Linked DNA regions of Canis lupus familiaris. The protein of the gene in region 1 purifies or fractionates together with the protein of each later gene. This does not show direct contact. Links are inferred from orthologs where the notes say so. Each region holds a gene or a part of one and is shown in the gene's direction. Other genes may lie near its edges. The genes, in order: OGT, SETD1A and DIDO1.

Region 1 (3,643 bases):
TTTATTGTAAAGCTGTTGAAATGGTTACCTTTTAGACTAAATTATTCCTTTGATCTGATTCAGAAAGCTAAGTAAATCCTCACTTTTGACTTTTTTTTTTTTGTTAGAGGAGAGCTGATTTCTTATGTGGAAATAGGAAATTTTTCAGTTTAGAAATACATATTTTATTAAGGTGAAATTTTGATACGAGGTTAAGTATAGTATAGCTTGGATTAATTACAATTAATTGATATACTTTGGTATAGTATAGCATGAATTAATTGTACCAGAGCATCCATTAAAAGTTAGTTGCATTGTGTGTGTGTGTGTGTTTTTTTTATTTACAGAGCTGTGGCAGCTTACCTTCGTGCCCTAAGCTTGAGTCCAAATCATGCGGTGGTGCACGGCAACCTGGCTTGTGTATACTATGAGCAAGGCCTGATAGATCTGGCAATAGACACCTACAGGCGAGCTATTGAACTGCAACCACATTTTCCTGATGCTTACTGCAACCTAGCCAATGCTCTCAAAGAGAAGGGCAGTGTAAGGACATTTATTCAGTCTACTTTTTTGTTACCTGGTAGGATTAAAAAGCCGTTGTTGTACCTATTGTGATTAAGTATTGAAGTGGCAAATTGTTTTACTTTTGAGTTTTGGTTGAGAGGAGAATGGCAAAAATACCTATTTTCTAGAATATTACCAGCCATCAGGCTTAACTAAGCAGTTGTTAGAATAACATCCGTGGTGGCTCTGTGATTCCTCCATTATAGGTTTTGAATAATTTGTTTTGTTTTCTAGGTTGCTGAAGCAGAAGATTGTTACAATACAGCTCTCCGGCTGTGTCCCACCCATGCAGACTCTCTGAATAACCTAGCCAATATCAAACGAGAACAGGGAAATATTGAAGAGGCTGTTCGCTTATATCGGAAAGCTTTGGAAGTATGTTCAGGGTGGTGTGGCTGAATATCTTGTCTATGTGATAAGAGAGGAAAGGCAGTTAAAGATTGACATGTCATCCACCTCTTTTTGTAAAAATAGTGGTTGAATAATTCATTGACCCAGTAATTGAGTATCTAAGGTATGAGTGAAGGCCTATGTGATAGTCAAGAAAGTCTCTATATTGCATTCGTTATTTTATAGGTAGATCTGCACAGAAAAATTAACCGTAAGTTACAGTTCAAGAGAGGTTGTTAATAAATATATCATTTTAGTGCCTGATGGCTGTAACGGTGACTGGTGGGTATGGTTGGAGTTTAAGAGCAAGAGATTTCAGGAGAGAGATACTAGAGTAATCAGCATAAACTAGGATGAGGAGAGAGCTACCTCATCATGTTTTTCAGCAAGGAGAGGTACAAAATGAAGAGGGAGAATTTGAGGTACGCAGCTTTGAAGAATGAGTAGACTGGGAGAAGGTAGATAAGTGTAGGGATATAAAGGTACTTACTTACTGTGGTAAGTTGTTATTGCTGGTATAGAAGTTTTTTTTAAACCTCAGATACCATCTTGACTCTGTAGGTCTTCCCAGAGTTTGCTGCTGCCCATTCCAATTTAGCAAGCGTATTGCAGCAGCAGGGAAAACTTCAGGAAGCTCTGATGCATTATAAGGAGGCTATTCGGTAAGACCCTCACTGGTTTTTTTTTTTTTAATGTTTTATAATGTTTGGCATTTGACACATTTGGCTTGTGTTAAATGACTTTTAAGAACAACAGACTAATATCACAGGGAGTTAACAACTTTTGTCCTAAAGAAGATCTTTGTTTTCTCTTTTAGAATTAGTCCTACCTTTGCTGATGCCTACTCTAACATGGGAAACACTCTAAAGGAGATGCAGGATGTTCAGGGAGCCTTGCAGTGTTATACTCGTGCCATTCAGATTAACCCTGCATTTGCAGATGCCCACAGCAATTTGGCTTCCATTCATAAGGTACTATTGTTTATTATAATACGTGTATCTAAACACCTAATGTTTAATTTTAAGAAGACTTTCAACCATCCCACTTTGTGTATTTCCAGGATTCAGGGAATATTCCAGAAGCAATAGCTTCTTACCGCACTGCTCTGAAACTGAAGCCTGATTTTCCTGATGCTTATTGTAACTTGGCTCATTGCCTACAGGTAAAGAATAATAGGCCAGTAATTGGCTTTCAGTGTTGCGATCACTTTCTTTTTTTTTCTTTTTTAAAGATTGTATTTATTTATTCATGAGAGACAGAGAGAGAGAGAGAGAGAGAGAGAGAGAGAGGCAGAGACACAGGGAGAGGGAGAAACAGGCTCCATGCAGGGAGCCCAACGTGGGACTCGATCCCGAGACTCCAGGATCACACCCTGGGCTGATAGCGGTGCCAAACCACTGAACCACCTGGGCTGCCCTACAATCACTTTCTAATTGTTCTGTGTGCCGCATTGATCCAAACCTGGCTGGAGATTTTTTTTTTAATATTTTATTCATCTATTTATGAGAGACCGTGAGAGAGGCAGAGACACAAGACAGAGGGAGAAGCAGGCTCCATGCAGGGAGCCCGATGTGGGACTCGATCCCAGTACTCCGGGATCATGCCCCGGGCCAAAGGCAGGCACTAAGCCACTGAGCCACAAAGGGATCCCCAAGAGATGGTGTTTTTTAAAGGGTTATCTGATGTTACATTAGGCCAAAGACCTATAAAATGTTAAATCTTGGAAAAGGGTTTTCTGGATAATAACTTCTTTTTGTCTCCTCTAGATTGTTTGTGATTGGACAGACTATGATGAGCGAATGAAGAAGTTGGTCAGTATTGTGGCTGACCAGTTAGAGAAGAATAGGTTGCCATCTGTGCATCCTCATCATAGTATGTTATATCCTCTTTCTCATGGCTTCAGGAAGGCTATTGCTGAGAGGCATGGGAACCTCTGCTTGGATAAGGTGCGATTGTTTTAAACTTTCTGTTGCAGAGTAAAATACAGATGCGGAAAATGACGCAAATCATACGTATGTAGGTTAATGAGTTATCCACTCATTAGGTGTACACTACCCATGTTAAGAAATGAGACTTTGTCAGCCACCCCAGAAGCCTTTTCCATTGTCTGTCTCGATCGTAACCCCTTCTGTCCCCTAAGAGAATCATAACAATAGATAGATGGTGTTTTCCTATAGTTTGAAAACCATAACGTTTAATAAGGTGTTTGGTATTTTGTACTCTGCTTTGAAAATTAGAGCACTACTTGTGGAAAGGTGGAAATTTGCACAGCAGAATAGATTGGCGTGCTAGATGTAATTCTGTTTAAAAAAAAAACGCTTCTCTACAGAATTTTCTAAAATGCAGGGTTTATCATACTCTGCACTGCCTCCTGTCTCCAAGTTTTATTTTTTTATTTTTATTTTTTTAAGATATTACTTATTCATGAGAGATACAGAGAGAGGCAGAGACACAGACAGAGGGAGAATCAGACTCCCTGCGGGGAGCCTAATGTGGGGACCCTATCCCAGGACTCCAGGACTGCGCCCTGGGCTAAAGGCAGGCGTTCAACTGCTGAGCCACCCAGGTGTCCCTGTTTCCAAGATTGATTGATTGATTTAAAGATTTTATTTCTTAATTCATGAGAGATACAGAGGGCAGAGAGGCAGAGACAGGCAGAGGGAGAGGGAGAGGCAGACTCCATTCAGGGAGCCCGATGTGGGACTCGATC
Region 2 (3,376 bases), on another chromosome or scaffold:
TAATCTGCTGCTGCCATCCTGAAGACTGGCACTTGAGAGCCGCCGGCCTTCTGGTTCTGAGAGGAAGTCACTACCAGCATAGCCTTCACAAAGATGGCATTGAGCTCGGTGAGCTTTCCCAGTAGGCAGGAGGGGAGAGGCACGTGTGAAAGGCCGCGGCTGTTCCAAGTGGCTGAAACCTAGGAGGGGAAAGGGTTAGTCTGCAACACAGGGTCTGCCCCAGAGAAAGGGCAGTGTAGTCTTGAGCTGTATTCAGGCTCCCACATTCAGTACCAGACTTGAGGGCCCCAGCAGAGGGAGGACAGGTTCCTGTCTGGGGGACTGGGGAGAGAGAATGCCACCTGCTCAAGATGGTGTGTCCCCTCCTCAGACCACTCCCTAACCTTGGGGTCTCACCTTCACCCTCAGCTTCTTTAGGGGAGTCTTCCTGACCCCTCCCCACTTTGGCAAACCCTGGTGCTCCTTGGCAGGTGGTGGCAAGGAAACAAATACTATGCAGTGTTTCAATACAAAGACTCAATGCTTACATTGTATCTTTACCACCTCACTGAACAGAGAACATTGTAGTTGAAATAATGGATACTTTAGTTCAGAGAGGGTTAATTGCATCATCATACCAGGCGGTGGTCCATCCTCTGTGCTCCTAGTCCTTGGACATAATTCAGTCACCACTAGTCTTGGTTAAAAGGATAGAGCTTGGGCAGCTCAGGTGGCTCAGCGCTTTAGCACCTGCCTTTGGCCCAGGGCGTGATCCTGGAGACCCAGGATCGAGTCCCACATCAGGCTCCCTGCGTGGAGCCTGCTTCTCCCTCTGCCTGTGTCTCTGCCTCTTTCTCTCTCTGTGTCTCTCATGAATAAATAAATAAAATCTAAAAAAAAAAAAAAAAAAAAAAAAAAAAGAACTTAAGTGTGTGTCTCCCTAGAGCCCCCACCTCAACTCTCCAGAGTTTGGGCTGGACATTGGTTTCCTGTCACAGTCCCCATTGGACTGTAATCTCTGTGAGGGCTTTGAAAGTGCCCAGCGTGTCGGCCCTATGCCTGACACACTTGTGCTCAGTGAATGTTTGTCGAATATATGAATGAGCAGGTGCAGAACCTCCTGCCAAGGGGAGCCCAAGGTGCAGAGGACTTGTTGCAGCTGTGAGGCAGCAGCATGTTTGCTGGGTGAGCACATGTGTGCCAGAAGCAGAGGAGAGCCTGCAGCCTTGGTGTGGACTCCCCAGTGAGACAGGCCAGTACCCTGCCCGCAAGCTGCTGACCTTCTCTTTTTCCCTGTGTGCTTCCTTCCCCAGGTTCCACTGAGGAACCACCTCCCAGTGTGCCCCAGCCTCCCCCTGAGCCGCCAGCGGGACCCCTGGCCCCCGTTCCCCGCCCTGATGAGCGCCCCTCCTCTCCTATCCCCCTCCTGCCCCCACCCAAGAAACGCCGGAAAACGGTCTCCTTCTCTGCCTTGGAGGAGGTGCCAGCACCAGAGCCTCCCCCAGCCACCCCGCCACAGATCAAGTCTCCTGGCCCTGTGTCCCGCAAAGTCCCCCGGACTGTGGAGCGGACCATTCGAAACCTGCCCCTGGACCATGCATCTCTGGTCAAGAGTTGGCCTGAGGAGGTGTCCCGAGGAGGTCGGAGCCGGGCTGGAGGCCGAGGCCGTTCTACTGAGGAGGAGGAAGCTGACCCAGGGACCGAAGTGGACCTGGCGGTGCTGGCCGACCTGGCCCTGACCCCAGCCCGTCGTGGGCTGACTGCCCTGCCACCAGGTGACGACTCGGAGGCCACAGAGACATCGGATGAGGCCGACCGCCCAGGCCCCCTGCTCAGCCACATCCTCCTGGAACACAACTATGCCTTGGCTGTCAAGCCGCCGCCCTCCACTCCGGCCCCTCGGCCTCTGGAGCCAGTTCCTGCCCCTGCGGCCCTCTTCAGCTCTCCAGCAGATGAGGTCCTGGAGGCCCCCGAGGTGGTGGTGGCTGAGGCGGAGGAGCCAAAGCAGCAGCAGCAACAGCAGCAGCAGCAAGAGGAAGGAGAGGAGGAGGAGGAGGAAGAGGAGGAGTCCGAGTCTTCCGAGAGTAGCAGCAGCAGCAGTAGTGACGGGGAGGGCGCTGTCCGGCGGCGCAGCCTCCGCTCCCACACCCGGCGCAGGCGGCCACCCCCGCCCCCTCCACCCCCTCCACCCCCTTCCTTCGAACCCCGCAGTGAGTTTGAACAGATGACCATCTTGTATGACATTTGGAACTCGGGCCTGGACTTGGAGGACATGGGCTATCTGCGGCTCACGTACGAGCGGCTGCTGCAGCAGACAAGCGGGGCTGACTGGCTGAATGACACCCACTGGGTCCATCACACCAATATCCTGGGCCCTAGAGGCCAGCTTGCTCCGCACAAGAAGGCAGGCCCCAGGGGTGGGGGCAGGCTGCCCTGGGGTCGCACAGCTAGGGAGCAGCCCTCTCACATCGCAGCTAGCGTCTCTGTTTGCCTCCCTCCCTGTTCTCTCTGCCACATTCAGCCTGGTTGTTCTCCTCTGGCCCCCAGGCCATTCTTTTCTCTTTGCCTCTTGCCCCTTCTCTACCTCCCTGAGTTTTTTCTGGCAGAAAAGGTGAGATCTAAGGCTTTCTTCTCTCCATTTTTCTGCCCTCCTCATGCTAAATAATGCTTGGGCCCTCCTGCTAAGGTCAGTCACCCTTTCCATGGGCTGGGACTGGGTGGACCGAGGGGAGAGGGCCCCAGGGATCTGGCCAGCAAGGAACCCATTTTCTTCCTTAACACCCTGCACTCACCAACCTGAGCACTCCAAAACGCAAACGGCGGCCCCAGGATGGGCCCCGTGAGCACCAGACAGGCTCAGCCCGCAGTGAAGGCTATTACCCAATCAGCAAGAAGGAAAAAGACAGGTACCTGGATGTGTGCCCTGTTTCGGCCCGGCAGCTGGAAGGAGCAGACACTCAGGTAAGGCTCTGCCCTCATACCTGGCCCATTGGTGTCACTACTCACGGTTGCCCCTGTCACTTACCTCCCCCCCTGCATCCTGCTTCTCCCAGGGGACTAACCGTGTGCTCTCGGAGCGCCGGTCTGAGCAGCGGCGGTTGCTGAGTGCCATCGGCACCTCCGCCATCATGGACAGTGATCTGCTAAAGCTAAACCAGCTCAAGGTGAGGAGCAGGGACTTAGGGGAAGAGAGGCCCGGTGGGCGGGCAGCATCATGCGGTCTCCTGGGGTTGGGCATGGAGGTGAGTGGCCGAAGCACACTTCTCCCCTTGGAGGACTGCAGCAAAGGCAAGGAGTTAGGTTGAGGGAGGCGCCCAGCAGCACAGCCTGCATTCTGCCCTCTAGTTCCGGAAGAAGAAACTCCGCTTTGGTCGCAGCCGGATCCACGAGTGGGGTC
Region 3 (4,357 bases), on another chromosome or scaffold:
CAGGGCCCAGGTATGCCAGACAGTTTTATAAAGGACAAAAAAACAACGGCAACAAACAGGAACGTGAGAAAGCGTTTTGTTGCTTTAAGTAAAGACACGATCCTCCAGAGCGGACAGGCACAGGCCCGGGGAGTACCAGCTGGGCAGCCCTCCACTCCCACTACTTCCTATTCTTCCCCCCCCCCCCCCGTAACCTGTGAGTTGCGGGGCTCACTTAATGCCAGCTAAGTACACGCGAGAGTGCTCCCCTCAATTAAAAAGCTAGACGGTGGAAACGGGGTGGCAAGCGCTGAGCAGCAAAGCCAGCAAGGAGCCACCAAACGGGCGCAGCGGCAGGGAGGTCGGACACACGGCGGGTGAAGGTTCTACGGACGTGTCAACGGTCCTGCTCCGGACTGAATGCAGAGAGATGAACAAGCAGGAGCGCTTGAGACTCGGCCGAAGAGGAAGGCTTGAACAGAGGAACAGGTTGGAGGAGTAGAGCAAGTTTGGGCCGACTCTGACTCCTCGCTGGGAAGGCGAGCCGGCCCCAGGATCACAGGTCCGCAGCTCAGCGCTGGGAACAGTGACAGCGGCCGCACAGGGGCGTGAAGGCCAGGATGCGGCACCGACGGCCCAGGGGGCGCGTGGGGAGGGACGCGCGGGCCGGTGGCGAGGCCAGGAGAGGAGGCCCCGGGGTGCCGGGACGGTGCCGCACGGGGCGCAGAGGGCACACGCGGGGCGCCGGGCCCCGGGGCTCCAGGCCAGCACAGGCGTTGCTCAGACCACGCTCCTGGTCCTGGATGGTCCACGGGAACTAACCGAGGACGCACAGGCAGCCGGCCCCGCGCGGCAGGCGGCGGCGCCCGTCCTCACCGGCTCCGGCTCCGGGCCCGCTCCGCTGGTGGTCATAAACGCCGTCCTCCCCGCGGGGCACAGGCGCGGCGGCTCGCGGCTCCTCGCGGCTCCTCGACCCCGGCCGGCCGCTCTGCGCGTCGGAGCCTTCGCGGGAAGCGCTGTCCCTTTAGGAATAAACGCCCGGTTACAGCGCCCGGCGCCGCGGGGCCCCGCCGACCCGGCCGCGACCCGGAGGCAGTTGGACGTGCGCGCCCGGGAGGCCCCCGCCCGCCCCCGCCCGGGCCGCGTCCCCGCGCGCCTCCCCGGCGCCTCCCGGGCTCCTCCCCGCCCCGCCCCGGCCCGCCGCGCTCCCCGGGGAAGCTCGGCCCGGCCGCCCGGGGCCGCCGCGGCCATCTTACCTGGCGGAGCCCGCCTCCCGCGCTGCGCGGTCTCCACGGCCGCTCGCGGGGCCGGGCCGAGCCGGGAGGGCGGCGGGGCGCGGGGGACGCGCGGCGGAGGCGGGAGCCGCGGCGGCGGCGGGGGCGGGGGCGGGGGCGGGGAGCGGGAGGGCAGACGCACCGGCGGCCGCCCCTCCAGGCACCTCCCGCGAGACCGCGCGAGCGCAGGCCCCGAGCCGGCAGCCAATCAGGAGCCCCCGCGAGGGGGCGGGGCGCGGCGGCCGCCCGGAAGCGCGGGACTCGGGCTTCCGTCCTTGCGCAGAACGGCGCTCGCGGCGCCCTCGCTCTACGGGTTGGCGCGAGAGTCAAAAGGCGTCGGCCGACCCCGGGCAAGATGGCCGCCGTCGAGGTGTCGTTGTGGGGGAACTTCGCGCCGCGATGGCGACATCTAGGCTGAGCCGGAGGCGAAGGTCCCCGCTTCCTCTCCGCGGCTTGTGTGAGCTCGCAGGGCAGGGGCCGCGGGCGAGGGGGAGGGCGGGCGCCGGTGCTGCGCGCCGCCCCGAGGGGCCCCCCCGCCGAGCGCCCGCCGAGCGCGGGCCTGGGAGGGGGCGGCCGAGCGCGCCCCGGGGAGCCCTGCGCGGCGTGGGCCGAGGCGGGCTGCGGGGCGCCGGCGGGGCGGGGAGCGCGCTGCCGCCCGCCGGCTCATGAGTCGACAGAAACGGGCCTGCCCTCGGGGAGCGCGGGGCGCGGGGTCCGCCGGGTCGGGCCGGGGTGCGGGCGCGCGCGAGGCGGCGGGGCCGGGGCCGGGGCGCGGGGGGCGGGGCCGGGGCCGGGGTCGGGCGCCGCGGGCCGCGTGGGGGGGAGCGGGCGGCCGGGGTCGGGCCGGGTCGGGCCGGGTCGGGGTGGGCCCGGGCGGCGCTGCCCGCGCTTCCCGACTCAGAGCCGCCGGGGCAGTGCGGGCCCGTGATGCCAGCCTGTGCAACGCCCTGACCTGTGCCCGCTCCGGATGCCAACCTCGCCGCGTGCGCAGGGGCGCGGATTTTTGAAATTCTTTCCAAAGGGACGCAAGCGAAAGCTTGAGCGCGGTGCCCCGAGGAGGTGGGCCTTGCCGCCCGGGGACGGCCCCTCGGCTCTGGGGCGGCCCCCAGGCTCCCGCGCGCCCGGCCGGTGCCCCCCCCCCCCCGCCCGTGCCCTGCTCCTCACACCCTCCGGGCACTCCCTGATGGCGCGTGCCCAGTGGGCGCAGCCGGGAGGGCTCCCGCCCCCGCCCCCGCCCCCGCCCCTTGCCTCTGCTGCAGCCGCCCTACCTCTCTGCAGGTGCTCGCGGGTGCTCGAGTGGGGTCTCGGGCAGAGCACTTGCAGGCCAACTGCCGGAGATGGGGAGGCCCTCCCTAGACCAAGCTGAGCGCACCGCCCCCGTAGGCCCACCTCGCACCCTGACTCTCCCCGCGTAGCTCTGAGCCCACCGGTTTCTGCCACTGATGGCTGATAACGTTGCAATTTGCCACACACACCTGGGCTGCACCAGAGCCGAGACGTTAGTACCTCGTAGGAGTTCCGTAGGTATCTGTTGAGAACGGGAAGGAGGAAATGAGTGAAGGAGGATAATCGAGAGCAGCTTCCGCAACAGTGGACGCAGGGAGACTTCGCCGAGGGGGGAATGTTTGCAGTCTGGCGATTGAGCCCCTGCGGTGAATGGCACTCAGATGTGCAGCCTGGTTGATGAGGCTCCTGGTGGTGGCACCAGCTGGGCAGACGAGTGGGCTAGAAGGGGGCGGGGGGGCTGGGGAGCCCAGGGTCAGTCTTGCTGGGTTGGAGGTGCCTGGGGGACAAGGCTAAAGTTGAAAGGAGCAGCCGGGGCTGGACGTGAAGGTTTTACGGTGACACCCTGTGACAGTTAACAAACATACTTAGAGAAAGACTGTAGAGAGGAGGAGCAGATAAGTCTAGAATCCAGAAGGACGGCACCAGATGGCCCCTATGCAGAGAAGAGGTTTTCCATTAAGTCAGCAGAGAGGCTTGACAGGGACCAGGGGGTTTAGCAGGTTCTGCAGAAGTGGGGAGTTCTAGAAGATGAGCGGTGTCCAGTGCGGCAGGGCCGTCCTGCAGGCATACTTGACAGGCGTTGGGGACAGAGCAAGGAGCACAGTGACACGGGAATGGAAAATGTTAGACGACAGTGAGTGGAGAGGTGAATAGGGTGAGGGGAGCAGTTTCACACTGGCAGAAGCCTCTGAGGTGGAGAGCAAGCAGCAGGTGAAGTTGATCCCATTAAACCCTGAAGCAACAAGATTTGGTGGCTGAGGGGGAAGGAGAATCTCCAGGCTTCTGGCTGGTGCGTGTGGACTAGGGACACCAGAGAAGGGTCTGGTTGGAGGAGAGAGGTTCAGGAGTCGTGAGCTCATTTTGCACCCGTGGAGATGTTAGGGGAACAGGTCTGGGCAGGGGTAAAGTGGAGCACAGCCAGGAGTGCATGAGCTCCCCTGTGGACAGTAGGTGCGCCTATGGAAGGGAGATCAGGCCAGCCTGCGCCAGCATAAGACCCCTTGTGCTGCTAGGTGTCTGGGGGTGTGGGGGAGCACCGAGGGTGTGGGCCACTTTGGTACAGCCTGGAGCATTGGCCCAGTTGATAGGAAATAGGAGGGTCTGTGGAAGGGGAGCAGCCAGGTGGCCAGAACCTCCACTATCCTCCAAGCCCAGGTGGAGACTTCCCTTGTAATAGGTTAGCGGTTCTTTACAGACGAGTGTTAAACACTTACTAGGCTTACGAGAGCATTAAAAGTGTTTTTGAAAAGGGAGGAGTATCTGAAGAATAAAATACACAGTGTTGCCTTTACTCAAATCCTGGATTGCTCAATAACCAGGCTGTGGGCTGTGTGTTACAGAATGACAGCATTTCCGCGGATGTTTTTATCTTATTTGCAAAACCCAAAAGCATAAAATCAAGCCCCTACACACTGAATGCCCTGCTTTGAAAGAGATTTGGTGAAAACAAACTAATTCTCAAGGATAATATGTAAACTGACCAGTTGCTGCTCAGAGTCATCGGAACATGAGGCAGTCAGCACCAAGAGGTCAACTTCCGTTGCATTAGCCTTTTACGGTGTGTTCAGTTTCTTGGTGAAAGTGTTGAAAGAGTAAGG

Evidence for each region.
Region 2: the proteins of OGT (region 1) and SETD1A purify together in Homo sapiens (affinity purification with mass spectrometry; 4 studies listed by BioGRID and IntAct, with this or other methods). This does not show direct contact. The link is inferred for Canis lupus familiaris from reciprocal best matches to the Homo sapiens genes OGT and SETD1A.
Region 3: the proteins of OGT (region 1) and DIDO1 purify together in Homo sapiens (affinity purification with mass spectrometry; 3 studies listed by BioGRID and IntAct, with this or other methods). This does not show direct contact. The link is inferred for Canis lupus familiaris from reciprocal best matches to the Homo sapiens genes OGT and DIDO1.

Annotation. Positions count from the first base shown.
Region 1 is NC_049260.1:56,034,300-56,037,942, forward strand, and holds part of OGT (UDP-N-acetylglucosamine--peptide N-acetylglucosaminyltransferase 110 kDa subunit), read left to right. Parts: intron 1-326; coding exon 327-522; intron 523-777; coding exon 778-918; intron 919-1,494; coding exon 1,495-1,595; intron 1,596-1,750; coding exon 1,751-1,904; intron 1,905-1,993; coding exon 1,994-2,095; intron 2,096-2,699; coding exon 2,700-2,879; intron 2,880-3,643. UniProt on the Homo sapiens protein: Catalyzes the transfer of a single N-acetylglucosamine from UDP-GlcNAc to a serine or threonine residue in cytoplasmic and nuclear proteins resulting in their modification with a beta-linked N-acetylglucosamine (O-GlcNAc).
Region 2 is NC_049227.1:17,389,392-17,392,767, reverse strand, and holds part of SETD1A (histone-lysine N-methyltransferase SETD1A), read left to right. Parts: intron 1-1,292; coding exon 1,293-2,342; intron 2,343-2,767; coding exon 2,768-2,940; intron 2,941-3,032; coding exon 3,033-3,143; intron 3,144-3,324; coding exon 3,325-3,376. UniProt on the Homo sapiens protein: Histone methyltransferase that catalyzes methyl group transfer from S-adenosyl-L-methionine to the epsilon-amino group of 'Lys-4' of histone H3 (H3K4) via a non-processive mechanism.
Region 3 is NC_049245.1:47,587,252-47,591,608, reverse strand, and holds the start of DIDO1 (death-inducer obliterator 1), read left to right. Parts: upstream 1-1,540; 5' UTR 1,541-1,710; intron 1,711-4,357. UniProt on the Homo sapiens protein: Putative transcription factor, weakly pro-apoptotic when overexpressed. Tumor suppressor. Required for early embryonic stem cell development.